Canis lupus familiaris: one gene and its partners. The protein of the gene in region 2 interacts with the protein of the main gene of each other region in a biochemical or structural test. Links are inferred from orthologs where the notes say so. Each region holds a gene or a part of one and is shown on either strand. Other genes may lie near its edges.

Region 1 (4,045 bases), on a different chromosome or scaffold from region 2:
GAGCATCTCTTAGAGCCAATGGGTTCCACACCTACGGATGACCTCCTGGATGACTGGTTCCAGGCCCTGGAACCATCAGTGAATCTGAATGAAGACCAGAAGGGAGCCCAGGTAGTATCCTTTTCTAAAACCCATTGGAGCAGGGTTAGAGTAGGGTCTGGCCCACAAGGTAACAATTAGGATGGGATTCAAGGTAGTAGTCGAAAAACAAAAGAAGAAAAATTGGGCAGCAAGAAAAAATAGGACATGAATTAAAATATCTAAGAAAAAGGTGGCATAAGGACATTTAATTGTAGTTAACAATGGTGGGAAATTGGGCTGCATTGGGGGTTATTTTATACTTGATGAAAGGAGTACAATATTTCTTGGAATTGAGGCCTTGAAACCTGATATGGCTTTTTTAATGTCTCCTTTTATTTCAATATTTTGCAAATGAGCCAATGCTAACTTTACTTCTTATTCTCAGTCACTGAACTTTAATAAAGTATGGTTGATAATAAAAACAAGGATTACCAAGTGGAATGAAGACCAAGGGCTTTAGAGCCTCAGGACTGCTTTATAATATTACCTTTGTCCACCACATGGACAATCACTTCATCTCTCCAACCATTTCAACTGTCAAATAGGGAGATTTGTCTCATTTGATGATTCTAAGCAAAAAATAAGAATACATATTAAAGTATGTAGCACGGTGCCTGGCACATAATAAGTGCTCCACAACAGCAATTATTGGAAACTAGGTCTCCCCACTTCATGGCCCCTGTCCCCTCTTTTGCCAAGGAGAAATGTGCAAGGAAAGGAAATGTGCAGTGCATCTTCCTTCCACCCCCATTTTCTTCATAAGTAGCTCACTCTGCCTCTACTCTTCTTTTTCAGTTTGCAGACTTGGTACCTCCTGCCTACTCCTTTCCCTGGCTCTATGAGGAAGAACACCACTGGTTCTACTTTCTAGCTGATCACAGTTACATACCTGTCCCAGATTTGAATGAGGCACAAAATATTTAGAGAAAGCATATGTCTTTCAAGGGACGTGTTGCTAAGTGTAACAGTAAAGATTACCTGCATTACTGCTACTTCCCAATGGATTAAAAAAAAAAAAATCTAAAACTGCCCTACAAAGAGATCACAACACGAAAGCATTGTTTAAAACTTCTTTTTCCATTTCTGCCTGCTTTTCTAAACCTTCTTTGATAGCTGAGCCTCAAATTTACATAAGAGCCAGTAACCATTTTGCTGTTCCCCAACCTCCTCCCTACTAACGTCTACATTCAGGCTTCTCAAAAAAGACTTAAACTTTGGCTGAGGTGGGAGGTGATGGTAGTGGTGGAAATTTAATAAAGGGTGGCATCCTCTTCCTGAAGAGGAAATACAAAGCTATCAACATCTTTTACCCAGCTGCCTGTTTCCTTCCTCCCTCCCTTTCTGTCTTAAGGAAAGTGGTCCAGCTGTAACCACCATACTCCCCCCCCTCCCCCGCCCACCCCCGCAAGCAACTGAACCGCCTATGATGTCATAATCACAACCCCATTACCTCATCCTGCTGGGGGGTGGGGGTGCGTAGAGGAAGGAGGAGGAGTGAGCAGCCCTGGGCCCTTTTCAGCTTTACAAAGTGTTTTGGGTGAGGGCTAATTACAGAATCAATTGGGAACGGCCCCGCAACCGTTACAAGTCCTGGGTTTATAAGGTTGGAGGGTATCCGGCAGCTGGAAGAGGGGCTCCCGGGACTCAGAGCAGGCCCTGATCGGCTCTTGGACTACATTTCCCAGAAGTCTTCACGCCGCGGGCCGGTCCTCTGCTGGCGGAAGGGGGATTCCTTCTGAGAGGTGCCCGTAGAGGGCGGGAGGAGAGAGCAGGTAAGAGCAACTCTGGCTATTTCTGTTACGCGGCCCGAACCGGGTAGGGGGCCGTACTAGGGCCAATGTTGGAATGGAGGGCGAGGAGAATCGCTTTGTTTACCTTCGTCCGACACGGTCTCCCCCGCGGGTTTGGAGCTGTGCCGCCAACTGGGTCCGTCCACCTTCAGCAATATTTTGGAGGGGGTGACTCGATAGTGAAGAAGCCACCTTCATCCCTAAATCAAAGAGCTTGGCTCATTCCCGACAGCACTTTCCAAAAAAGATTTTGGGAGAGAAGCGACGCGGGGTTCGAGCCTCCCCGGGCGGTTCAGGGCGATTCTGCGAACCAGAGCGATTCCCCCACTCTCCTTCGGGGCCCGTTGGTTCGCGCCGGCGCCTTTTAAGGGCACCGTGGGGCGAACGGAGCGCTCAGAGCTGCTCCGGCCGCGGCCCAGGGAGCTGGAGGAGCCGCGGTAGGTGGCGAGGGCAGGTGGCGCTGGGGCCTCGGGGCGGGCACCTCGACTGTCCCTCCCTCCTTCCCTCTTTCCCTTCCCCCAGCCCGGCGGCGCGCGCGGCACGGCCTCTCTGGACGCCTCCACGGGGAGAGCACGGGACCCGGTGGGGGAGGGGTTGGTGGAGTGCTAAGTCCCAGACCCTTTCCATCTCCTGCGTCCTGAGTTCGCTTCCCGCGGCCAGATGATGGAAGCTGATTGGGAAGAGGCGAAAGACAGCCCCCCTGAGCGAGCCCTGGTGCCCCCCTAGGGGCTAGCGGACGCCCCATGCCCCACCCCGCGGGGACAGGCAGGGCAACCGAGGGAGAGGTTGAAGACTGGAGGGGGGCCTAGCCTTTTGCTTCTTCATCGGGGTGGGGGGAGGGGTGCTCCCCACTTGTCACCCCTATCCCCGCCAGAGCCATATGGAGGAAGAGCAGTCAGTTCCCCACTTACCTGTTCATGTACCTCCCTGCCTCCCTCATGTTTTTCTTTAGTGTCCCCCAGAGGTGTGGGGCTGGGACCTGGGGGGAGGGTCCCCAGGGGATTTGTGACTCTCCTCCCTCTTGGCTTGATTTGATCCTGGGTTCTCCAGGTTTCAGCACAACCTTAGCATCCCTGAAACCCCAACGTCAGGGGTTACTACCATCCAATAGTAGATGGGGTGGGGGTCCAGTCTTTATTTTAGGGGGCTGTTGGTGGAGGGAAAGCCTGGATTGAGAGTTGGGCCTGGTGGGGTCGTAGGGAGGGCCTAGCGGCCTGCTGCTCTGTGAAGGGCTGAGCCCTGTGCCAGTTGTTAAGCTGAGAAGTTTTAACTTGTTTAGTGAACATTCAGGGCTGTCTCTGCCCCTCAGATACACAAAATGGAAGGGGAAGGAAGGCGGCAAGAGAGGGTTTCTTACACTTTTTTCTATGCCTGCCTGAGAAAGAGGAGGCCCCTCGCGGAGCTGGTTTGCCTTCTTTTGTGTCCTGGTTTGATTCCTTATGGCTTCCGTTCTGTTCCCCCTCTCAGCCTGGCCTGTTTTAGGAAACTCAGGCTGAGAGTATCAGTTGCGTGGTGGTAGTTGCATTGTTCCAATTACCGCCGTGTGTGGCCACATCCCAACAATTAAAATGCAGAAAAACACAAAATCACTCTCTTCACTTGATCCCAGAGAGGGCTGGGAGTTTGCTGTTTGGCCAAATGCCTCATGAAAAGCTTGAAAGACTTTGCTTCACTCCCTGCTCTTCATGGCTGGTGAGCCTGAGGCCTGGGATCTCTGGGGTAAAAGCCTGCAGTTAGGGTCCCTCTCTAGTTGATCTTTTGGGGGCAGAGTTAAGAAACCAAGAGCAATGTGATATAAGCTTTAGCTTTTCCCACAAGATCATAGGGGAAGCCGCTGAAGGGAGCTCTCAGGAAGCTAGAACTTCTTTGAGGGTGGTAATAATAATTATGCATGAAAATGATAGTTAACTGTAATGATGGTTGATTTCTCCCACAGCTTCCAAAAAACTGCAGATACATCAACACGTAGTTCTTTGCTTTTCTTTACTTACTTCTCTCCAAGGTGGAACGGGGTAGAGATGATTCCCTCTTTTTGCAAAAGTAGAAAGTACTCTACCTCCAAGGTCACAGAAGAGCTGTTTGGGGCTTCCCTGGGTGTTCAGGTGAGGGAGGTTGGCATCCAGCCAAATAGATAAACCCAATTGTCCTCTTCAGATTAATGATATTATCACATG
Region 2 (3,500 bases):
CAGCCCCCACCCCCACCCCACCCAGTCCTCTCACTCTGTATTCAGAGCTCTCAGAGAACACCAGGAATGACCACAATGCCCCCATCTCTCCTTGCTCACACATCACCACCTCTTCAACGCTCCCTGTCCCCTCCCTCGTTGCTGGACTCAAGTTCAAACTAATTAAATCTGAACTTCTACCTAGTTCTGAAATGCTCAGGATGCTCAGCCAACTCTCCCCGAGACCCATGGATGGACAGGGAGAGTTTCTCAGCCAGCATCAGGCTCCTCGGAACTGCAGGCTTGGCAGAAACAAAGCTTGACAGCAAGCAACAAGCGGAGGCTGGCTTTTATGTTGCAACAATATTATTCCTTTGACATTCTAAGACAACAAAATTGTTACATAACCTGACATTTAGTTTTATTTTCTACTTCTCCTTTTGAGAATTACAAAGTTATACTTTTAAATTCTAAAACACAAAGTAACTACTTAGGCTCTTACTCAAAGGAGACTTTGTAACTGAAAAGTTACTTATTATTTTGTCCACTAGTAGGTACCAGGCACTTGCTCAGGTTACACTTTCTCTCACAAAACCCCTTTAAGGTAGGGGTTTACTGTACCCCCTTTACATTCAAAGCAAGTTACTTAACCTCAGAGAGGTTAAGTAACTTGCTTAAGGTCACATAGCTAAGAAGTAGCAGACCCAAAATATGAGCCTCAGCCAGCCTGGTCCTGGAGCCCATGTTCTTAACTTTCTTTGCCCCTCAAGAGGTGCAAAACAAACAACAGAAAATAAAAATTAACAGGAGGAACACAACAGAATGTAAAAAGAAATTTCCACCACAGTACACACACTTTTTAGCAAACCACAAATTCTTAACCCTTTCATATCCATACCCTTTTCTGAGACCTCTGCCCAGACTTCAGGAATGAAGTTGAATTTTCCACTGGTGATCTGATCCTTCAAGGGCACTTGAGTCTTATGCTCAGAGAAAGGTGGGTACCCACTAAGGCTTAATATTGGTAAAGAGAAAAAGGAAAAGAAATCAAGTTATATTCTCAGTGGCATTCAGACATCTAGATTTTTCTTTAAATCAATGGTCAAAAAAAGTCACTCAAATTAAATACAAACTCTCTACCTGGACACGTTTTTGATTTCACCTAATTACCTACAACCAGACACTGAAGCAATGAAACTTTTCTTACCAAATAAAAAGAATAACTCCTAAACTCCAGCAATCCACCGCTCGGTTATATCCAGCAGTCCCAAAGGAATTAAGAACCTCAGGAGCCAGGTAGGTGGGAGTACCACATAAGGTTCTCATGAGAGAGGTCTCCCCCAAAATCTTAGACTGCCCAAAATCAGTAATCTAAAATTAAGGACAAAAGGGTACCATTTTTAATGGTGTCATAAAATAAAAAAGATTAACATAGTCTGCCAATCCTAAAGGGCATGTGGGCTAGATCAGTTCATATCCTATATGGTTCATGCCTACTATTAATCTGGAATCTATAACTTTAACACTGCAAATTAAATTTAATTTTGCTTAAATTAAAATTTCCAACCCAAGGAAGCACAAGGTTTTTTCTACAACTTATCTGTGGCTCTCCGTAACCTTACAAAAGGTTTATCCCTTATCTAACCCAGACCCCAGGGCACTAATTAGTTACCCACAGTTTTCCTTAGACCCTAGTTTCTCAACCAATCTCAACACTGGAATTCCTGAGGTGCTTGGACAAAATACTCACACCTGGGTGCCACCTTCAGCAATTCTGAGATGCAGCCTAGGTGTCATGACTTTTTTTTTTTTTTTTTTTTTAATTAATAGGAAATTCTATAGTGAAACCAAGCTTGGGAAGCATGTTGCCCTAGAAAGCAGGGGAAGAGAGTGGATAGGATTGTGTCATCCATCTAGACACCTCTTTCCTCTCTGAATAAAAGTGGTTTGTATACAGTGGAGTTCAATAAATACTCATTAGAATCTGGACCAGAGCAATACCGCCTAATCGCTAAAATGATTGCTAATAGTGGAATGGTCAAATTCTGTACCTTTTTATGTTCCCACTTTTTACTTGATAAATTTTATAAGTCTATGAACAAAAATCTACTGGAGTGGCCACATACAGAACATAAATATCTTACCTTTATAAGACAGTCCTCTTTTTGAGATGAGAGTAGAACATTCTCTGGCTTTAAGTCCCGATGTATAATGCCATTTTCATGAAGGTACTACACAGAAATGGAGGCATGACTTGGATTTACAGAGTAGGTATGTGAGTGAAGACACACAGAAAGACAAACACACATGCGCGCGCGCGCATACACACACACACATACCTTTACAGCTCAGTGAAATCATAAGCCAGGTTACTTACAATCATGTTCCCCCAAATCATAGAAAACAACTGGGTAAACGGCGTAATGTTTACAAATTTATTTTCTAGGTTTGTTTTTTATTTTTTAAAATATTTTATTTATTCATGAGAGACAGACACACACACAGGCAGAGGGAGAAGCAGGCTTCCCATGGGGAGCCAGATGTGGTACTTGATCCCAGGACCCCAGGATCACGACCTGAGCCAAAGGCAGATACTCAACCACTGAGCCACCCAGGCACCCCTGGGTTTGTCTGGTTGGTTTTGTTTGTTTGTTTGTTTTTTAAGATTTTTATTTATTTCTTCATGAGAGAGAGAGAGAGAGAGAGGCAGAGACACAGGCAGAGGGAGAAGCAGGCTCCATGCAGGGAGCCCGACATGGGACTCAATCCCAGGTCTCCAGGATCATGCCCTGGGCTGAAGGCAGGCGCCAAACCACTGAGCCACCCAGGGATCCCTGTCTGGTTTGTTTTGTTTTTTTCCTGTCTGGGTTTTTTTTTTTTTTTTTTTTTTTAAAGATTATATTTATTCATTTGAGAGAAAGAGAGAGTACTCACAAGAGAGAAGAGAGATCACAAGCAAGGGGAAGGGCAGAGGGAGAGAAAGCAGACTCCCTGCTGAGGCAGGGCACCCCGTGAAGGCCTTGATCCCAGGACCCAATGATCATAACCTGAACCAAAAGCAGATGCTTAACTGACTGAGCCACCCACGTGCCCCACAAATTTGTTTTCAAGAAAATCTTTAGGGGCACCTGGCTGGCTCAGTCAGTACAGCATTCAACTCTTGATCAGAAAAAGTGAAAAATGCCACTTATGACAGTAGACCGTTTATTTCACTCTTCAAAATAATAAATATCCCGGGATCCCTGGGTGGCGCAGCGGTTTGGCGCCTGCCTTTGGCCCAGGGCGCGATCCTGGAGACCCGGGATCGAATCCCACGTCGGGTTCCCGGTGCATGGAGCCTGCTTCTCCCTCTGCCTGTGTCTCTGCCTCTCTCTCTCTCTCTCTCACTGTGTGCCTATCATAAAAAATAATAATAATAATAATAATAAATATCCCTTCACACTGCCAGAAATACAAGGTATCAGTTTCAATAAAAATGTAAATGAGTGATAAAAGTATATTGAGATCTTATTAAAATAAGC
Region 3 (4,220 bases), on a different chromosome or scaffold from region 2:
AACTCGCCTCCTCGCCCTCCCCGGGGCCCCGTCGCCCATTAACCCCACCGCCCGCTTCCCCAACCTGACTTCTGCTCCACCCATCTTAGTGATGCAACACACCTGGCGCTCTTTCCCGCCCTAGACCTCAGACAGACCCCATCAGTCGCTTCAGTCCCTCATTGGCCAGCGGGGAGCACAGGGGAAGGGAAAGGGCCTTCCATTTTGCTCTCTGAAACTACCCACTCCGGTTCCCTGGTCTTCTCATAGGCCGTCGGGAGAGCAATGAGAGCCCGGAGCTGCCGCGCACGCGCGCGGAGGAGCCCGCCGGAGGCGGGGCACTTCCCCTTTCTAGCAGGAGCATTCATCGCGCTGTTGTGACGTAGCGGCGCGCCGCTCGCCGTCCTCACTTACGATTGGCTGTGGCAGAAGCCCGTCACACAGCCACGCCCCACTCCTCAGCCTAACCTCCCCCTTCGGAGCCCGCCCGGGAGGCCACGCCCCACCCCGGTCCCGCCGCTTAGGCCTGCGATTGGCTGAGGGAACCGGCATGGTTACCCGCCTCCTACTCCCTCCCCGAACGTCCGAGGCCGGCGGGACCCCGCGGAAGGGGTCCGTCAATCTCCTCCTTCCCCACCCCTCGCCAGCCCCTCCCCCGGCCGCGCGCACACGCACACGCACACGCACACGCGCACACTCTGCCCGCGTCCTGCCCCCTCCCCCCGCCCCTGCGTGCGCCCTCCGCCTTCTCGAGTCGTTAGCGGCCGCTCGCCGGGGCTTGTCCGTGGGCGGCGGAAGGGCGCGCGGGGGAGGGCGCTCGGACCGCGCGGCGCCGCGAGGAGCGAGCGTGCGCGCCCAGAGCCCCGCGGCGGGTCACCGCCCCGGGAGATGAGGGTCCGGCGCTGACGGGGAAGAGCGGGCACCGCGGCGGCGGCGGCTCGGAGGGGCCCCGCGATGGCAGCGCCTCGGGAGGAGGCTGCGGGCAGGGCGGGCAGCGCGGGCAGCGCGGGCAGCGGCCGCTGAGGGGCCGCCGGCCGCAGCGCGGGGCTGAGGAGGAGCGAGGCGCGCGCGGCGTCCGCACCCCCGCGCCGTCGCCGCAGTTGTCCAAACTTCGGGCTCTCTTCCACCCGCTCTCCGCGCCCGGAGTCAACAACTTCTTCACCCCCCTCCGTCCCCGCCCTCGCCTCCGTCAGCCCCGGGAGGCGGCGGCCGCGCGGCGGGGACCAGGAACCGCCGGCCCTGAGATGTGGCCGTGAGGCGGCGGCGGCGGCGGGCGGGCGGCGCGGAGAAGCTCGGCGGCGCCCGGGAGCCGGAGGGCGGCGCGGCCGCGGGGACGGGGACGGGGCGGAGGGGCGCGAGCTCCCCGCGCCTCTCCCCCCGCCTCCTCCTCCTCCTCCTGCCGCTGCCCGTTCCCTGCACGCAGCAGCCGGAGCTGCCAGGCGCCAGGGCCGCGGCGATGTCGTCGTCGTCGTCGTCGCCGCCGCCGCCGCCGCCGCCGGCGGGGGCTGCCGGCGCCGCCATCTCGGCCTCGGAGAAAGTGGACGGCTTCACCCGGAAATCGGTGCGCAAGGCGCAGAGGCAGAAGCGCTCGCAGGGCTCGTCGCAGTTCCGCAGCCAGGGCAGCCAGGCGGAGCTGCACCCCCTGCCCCAGCTCAAAGGTAACCTCCGAGGGGGCCGCCCCGGGGCGGGGGGAGCGGGAGTCGCGTCCCTCGCGTTGCCTCCCGGCGCCCGCGCCCGCGCCCGCATCCAACAGGTTTGCTCTGCAGAGTTTGCTGCAGATGCCAGCCCCCTGCCCACCTGCGCGCTCGCTCACCTGCGCCCGCGCCTGCAGCTCTGCGGCTCAGCCCCCGCCGGGCGGCTCTTCGCGCCGGCCCGGGGCGCGCGGCGCGGGGGGTGGGGGTGGGGGTGGGGGTGGGGGCTCCTCCAGCCTGCCCTGCCCTGCCCTGCCCTGCCCTGCCCTGCCCTCCGAGACCCTCCTCCGCTCTTCCGACGCTTGGCACTGCCCCTTTACTGCTTCAGTCGGCCGGGCGTCTGCGCGCACCCTCGCCTCCCCTTGCCCGCGGAGGGAGCGACCCCAGTTGTCACAGCGAGCGGGCCCTCGGTGGCCGTCCTGCCGCAGACCGCGACGGGGAGTCGGCTGCCCGGCACACCCGCTCCTGAAGAACGGGCGTGAAAACCCCACTCGTTCGTGCAGCGCCTTATTTGCTGGGTCGTTTAGGTTCACGTGGTATCGTTAACTCCGAGAGTGGAAAGACTCCGAATACTTCGTTGCCGGGGAAGATATAGACATAGATACACACACGTACACGGTAAAGTTGGGGAAGTTGCAAAAGAGTCCATAAATCCAGTCGCTTTGCAGCGGATTGGGAACTTGGTTCGCGAAGCAGGGATTCCAGGGGACCGCGTAGGTCTGGACAGTGATTCAGATTCGTGCCCGCGCGCAGGGCTTTGCAGGAGAGCTTGGCGCTCCTCGGCGCGCGCGTACTTTTCCCACAAGGGCTCAGGGGACTTTTAATAAAATGTTTCCCGGTGGTCTGGTTTATTCTTGGTGCGTTATTCTCTTTACATTTTGTAGTGTTCGTGTCTTCGCTTCTCTGTGAGAGAGAGAAATTCGCTCGGAACGAGAGGATAACCCTCCTAGATATTTCAGACAACTCTTAGCACAAAAGAAACCTGATAGAAATCTAGATCCTCTGTTTTGCGAGGCCTGGAAATTAAAGGCTCATGCTAAAATAGAATCGGCGGTGAGATTTTTCGATCCGTTTCGCCTCCTTCAAGGATAATCTGGTTCTGATTTGTCTTTGGACCTCGCCTGAGTCTGGCTAGGAGTCTAAAGAAAACCCCAGATCGAATCACAGTTGACCTGCGATAGATCTGGAACCCCGTTCAGACCCTATACTGCCCTGTCTTTTGGGGGTGCTTCTAAATCAGGGACCTCCACAGCCAGAATCCAACTAGCTTTTGAAAGGTTTTATTGAAGAAACGTGTAGCGTAACGTGTGTGGCTGCATTTATCGTTTGCCATGCAGCATGCAAAAATGGTTAAAATTTACATATCATAGTCCTTGGTAAACCACAGTGGTAGGCATTGCCAAGATTTTAATTCTTGAGTGATATCATAGCTATAAAAGAATATCGTCTTACCTGTTAGGACATTGGATTGCTATTCATGGATTTCAGTTGTAAACTTAATTAAAACGTTTTTAAGTCATTGATTTTTTCCCATTAAATTGTGGAATTTCTCATAATCGGAAGTTTGCTGCTAGTGTTTTTCATATTTATTAAATTTGCTTTTTTAGTAAGGTATTGTGGGTCCTTACTATTGTCCTTATTAATGCATTTACTTTTATTTAATAAAAATAGTTGCATATTAAACATGGTTAGGAGATGGAGTTTTAATGCAGTTTTTAAAAGCTTGACAAAAATATGCAGAGCCAGTAATCCTTTTAAATTATATGGTGCATAGTTCAACAAGTTGAAGGTGCCATTGAGTTTTTGTTTTTTTTTGTTTTTTTTTTTTTTTACAGTATTTGGTCACTAGTGGAGAAAAAATAAAATTGGAACTTTAGATTAATTCTGCATATTTAACATGAAAATACAGTGTTCTTTAAAAGGAAAGTTCAGGTATTCGAGGTAAATTTATGCAAATATAATTGTGGAAATAAGACCCTTACTGGGATTACCCACTAATAAGAGCTACTTATACTCCAAATGCCAAAAGGCTTGAAAAGTGCTTTTAAAAAAAAAAAATCCAGTTTCTTCACATGGTACTTGGCAGTGTGCTTGATACCACAAAGTTGTGTGCTTTTTTCTGTCTGTAGTAGTTTTTTCCATTTGTGGTCTTAACAAAAACCAGTGGAAAACCCTTTAGTATGTGTATGAAAGAGAATTTTTCTTCCTGCTCTGAAATATAATCTTCCTGTGGAGAGATTCAGATATTTGTGGGCAACCAAGATCTTTCAAGTGTTTATACTAACCTGCTTATGTTACACTTTGTCCACATGGATCTAAGCTGGAAAGGTGCCAGCTATTTTCCTCAAAGCTTACTATGGGTAAGGATTAACAAAATAATCCAACTTTTTCATCTATAAGAAGTTTATTTGTGCAAAATCATTTACCAAGTAGGTTGCAGGATTTTAATAGGGAAAATGTTCAGAGAAAACTATTTTGTTATAGAAAGTTTTTAATAAAAAAGCCTTGTTAAAAGGATTTTTTAAAAAATTAGGACCTGCCATGTGGGTC

The links.
Region 1: of the proteins of CHEK2 (region 2) and CDC25C, one has a biochemical effect on the other in vitro, tested with the Homo sapiens proteins (14 studies listed by BioGRID). The link is inferred for Canis lupus familiaris from reciprocal best matches to the Homo sapiens genes CHEK2 and CDC25C.
Region 3: the proteins of CHEK2 (region 2) and PPP2R5A form a complex in vitro, tested with the Homo sapiens proteins (2 studies listed by BioGRID and IntAct, with this or other methods). The link is inferred for Canis lupus familiaris from reciprocal best matches to the Homo sapiens genes CHEK2 and PPP2R5A.

Annotation. Positions count from the first base shown.
Region 1 is NC_049232.1:25,988,832-25,992,876, forward strand, and holds the start of CDC25C (M-phase inducer phosphatase 3), read right to left. Parts: upstream 2,801-4,045; 5' UTR 2,783-2,800; intron 2,309-2,782; exon of another isoform or gene 2,072-2,308; 5' UTR 1,957-2,071; intron 1,854-1,956; exon of another isoform or gene 1,532-1,853; intron 1,085-1,531; exon of another isoform or gene 1,006-1,084; coding exon of another isoform or gene 877-1,005; intron 651-876; 5' UTR 569-650; intron 112-568; coding exon of another isoform or gene 1-111. Other genes in the region: SLBP2 (uncharacterized LOC474694), read left to right, coding at 1-111, 877-1,005. UniProt on the Homo sapiens protein: Functions as a dosage-dependent inducer in mitotic control. Tyrosine protein phosphatase required for progression of the cell cycle. When phosphorylated, highly effective in activating G2 cells into prophase.
Region 2 is NC_049247.1:22,471,483-22,474,982, forward strand, and holds part of CHEK2 (serine/threonine-protein kinase Chk2), read right to left. Parts: intron 2,211-3,500; coding exon 2,124-2,210; intron 1,351-2,123; coding exon 1,187-1,350; intron 994-1,186; coding exon 878-993; intron 1-877. UniProt on the Homo sapiens protein: Serine/threonine-protein kinase which is required for checkpoint-mediated cell cycle arrest, activation of DNA repair and apoptosis in response to the presence of DNA double-strand breaks.
Region 3 is NC_049228.1:10,355,155-10,359,374, forward strand, and holds the start of PPP2R5A (serine/threonine-protein phosphatase 2A 56 kDa regulatory subunit alpha isoform), read left to right. Parts: upstream 1-1,420; 5' UTR 1,421-1,435; coding exon 1,436-1,637; intron 1,638-1,792; exon of another isoform or gene 1,793-1,864; intron 1,865-4,220. UniProt on the Homo sapiens protein: The B regulatory subunit might modulate substrate selectivity and catalytic activity, and might also direct the localization of the catalytic enzyme to a particular subcellular compartment.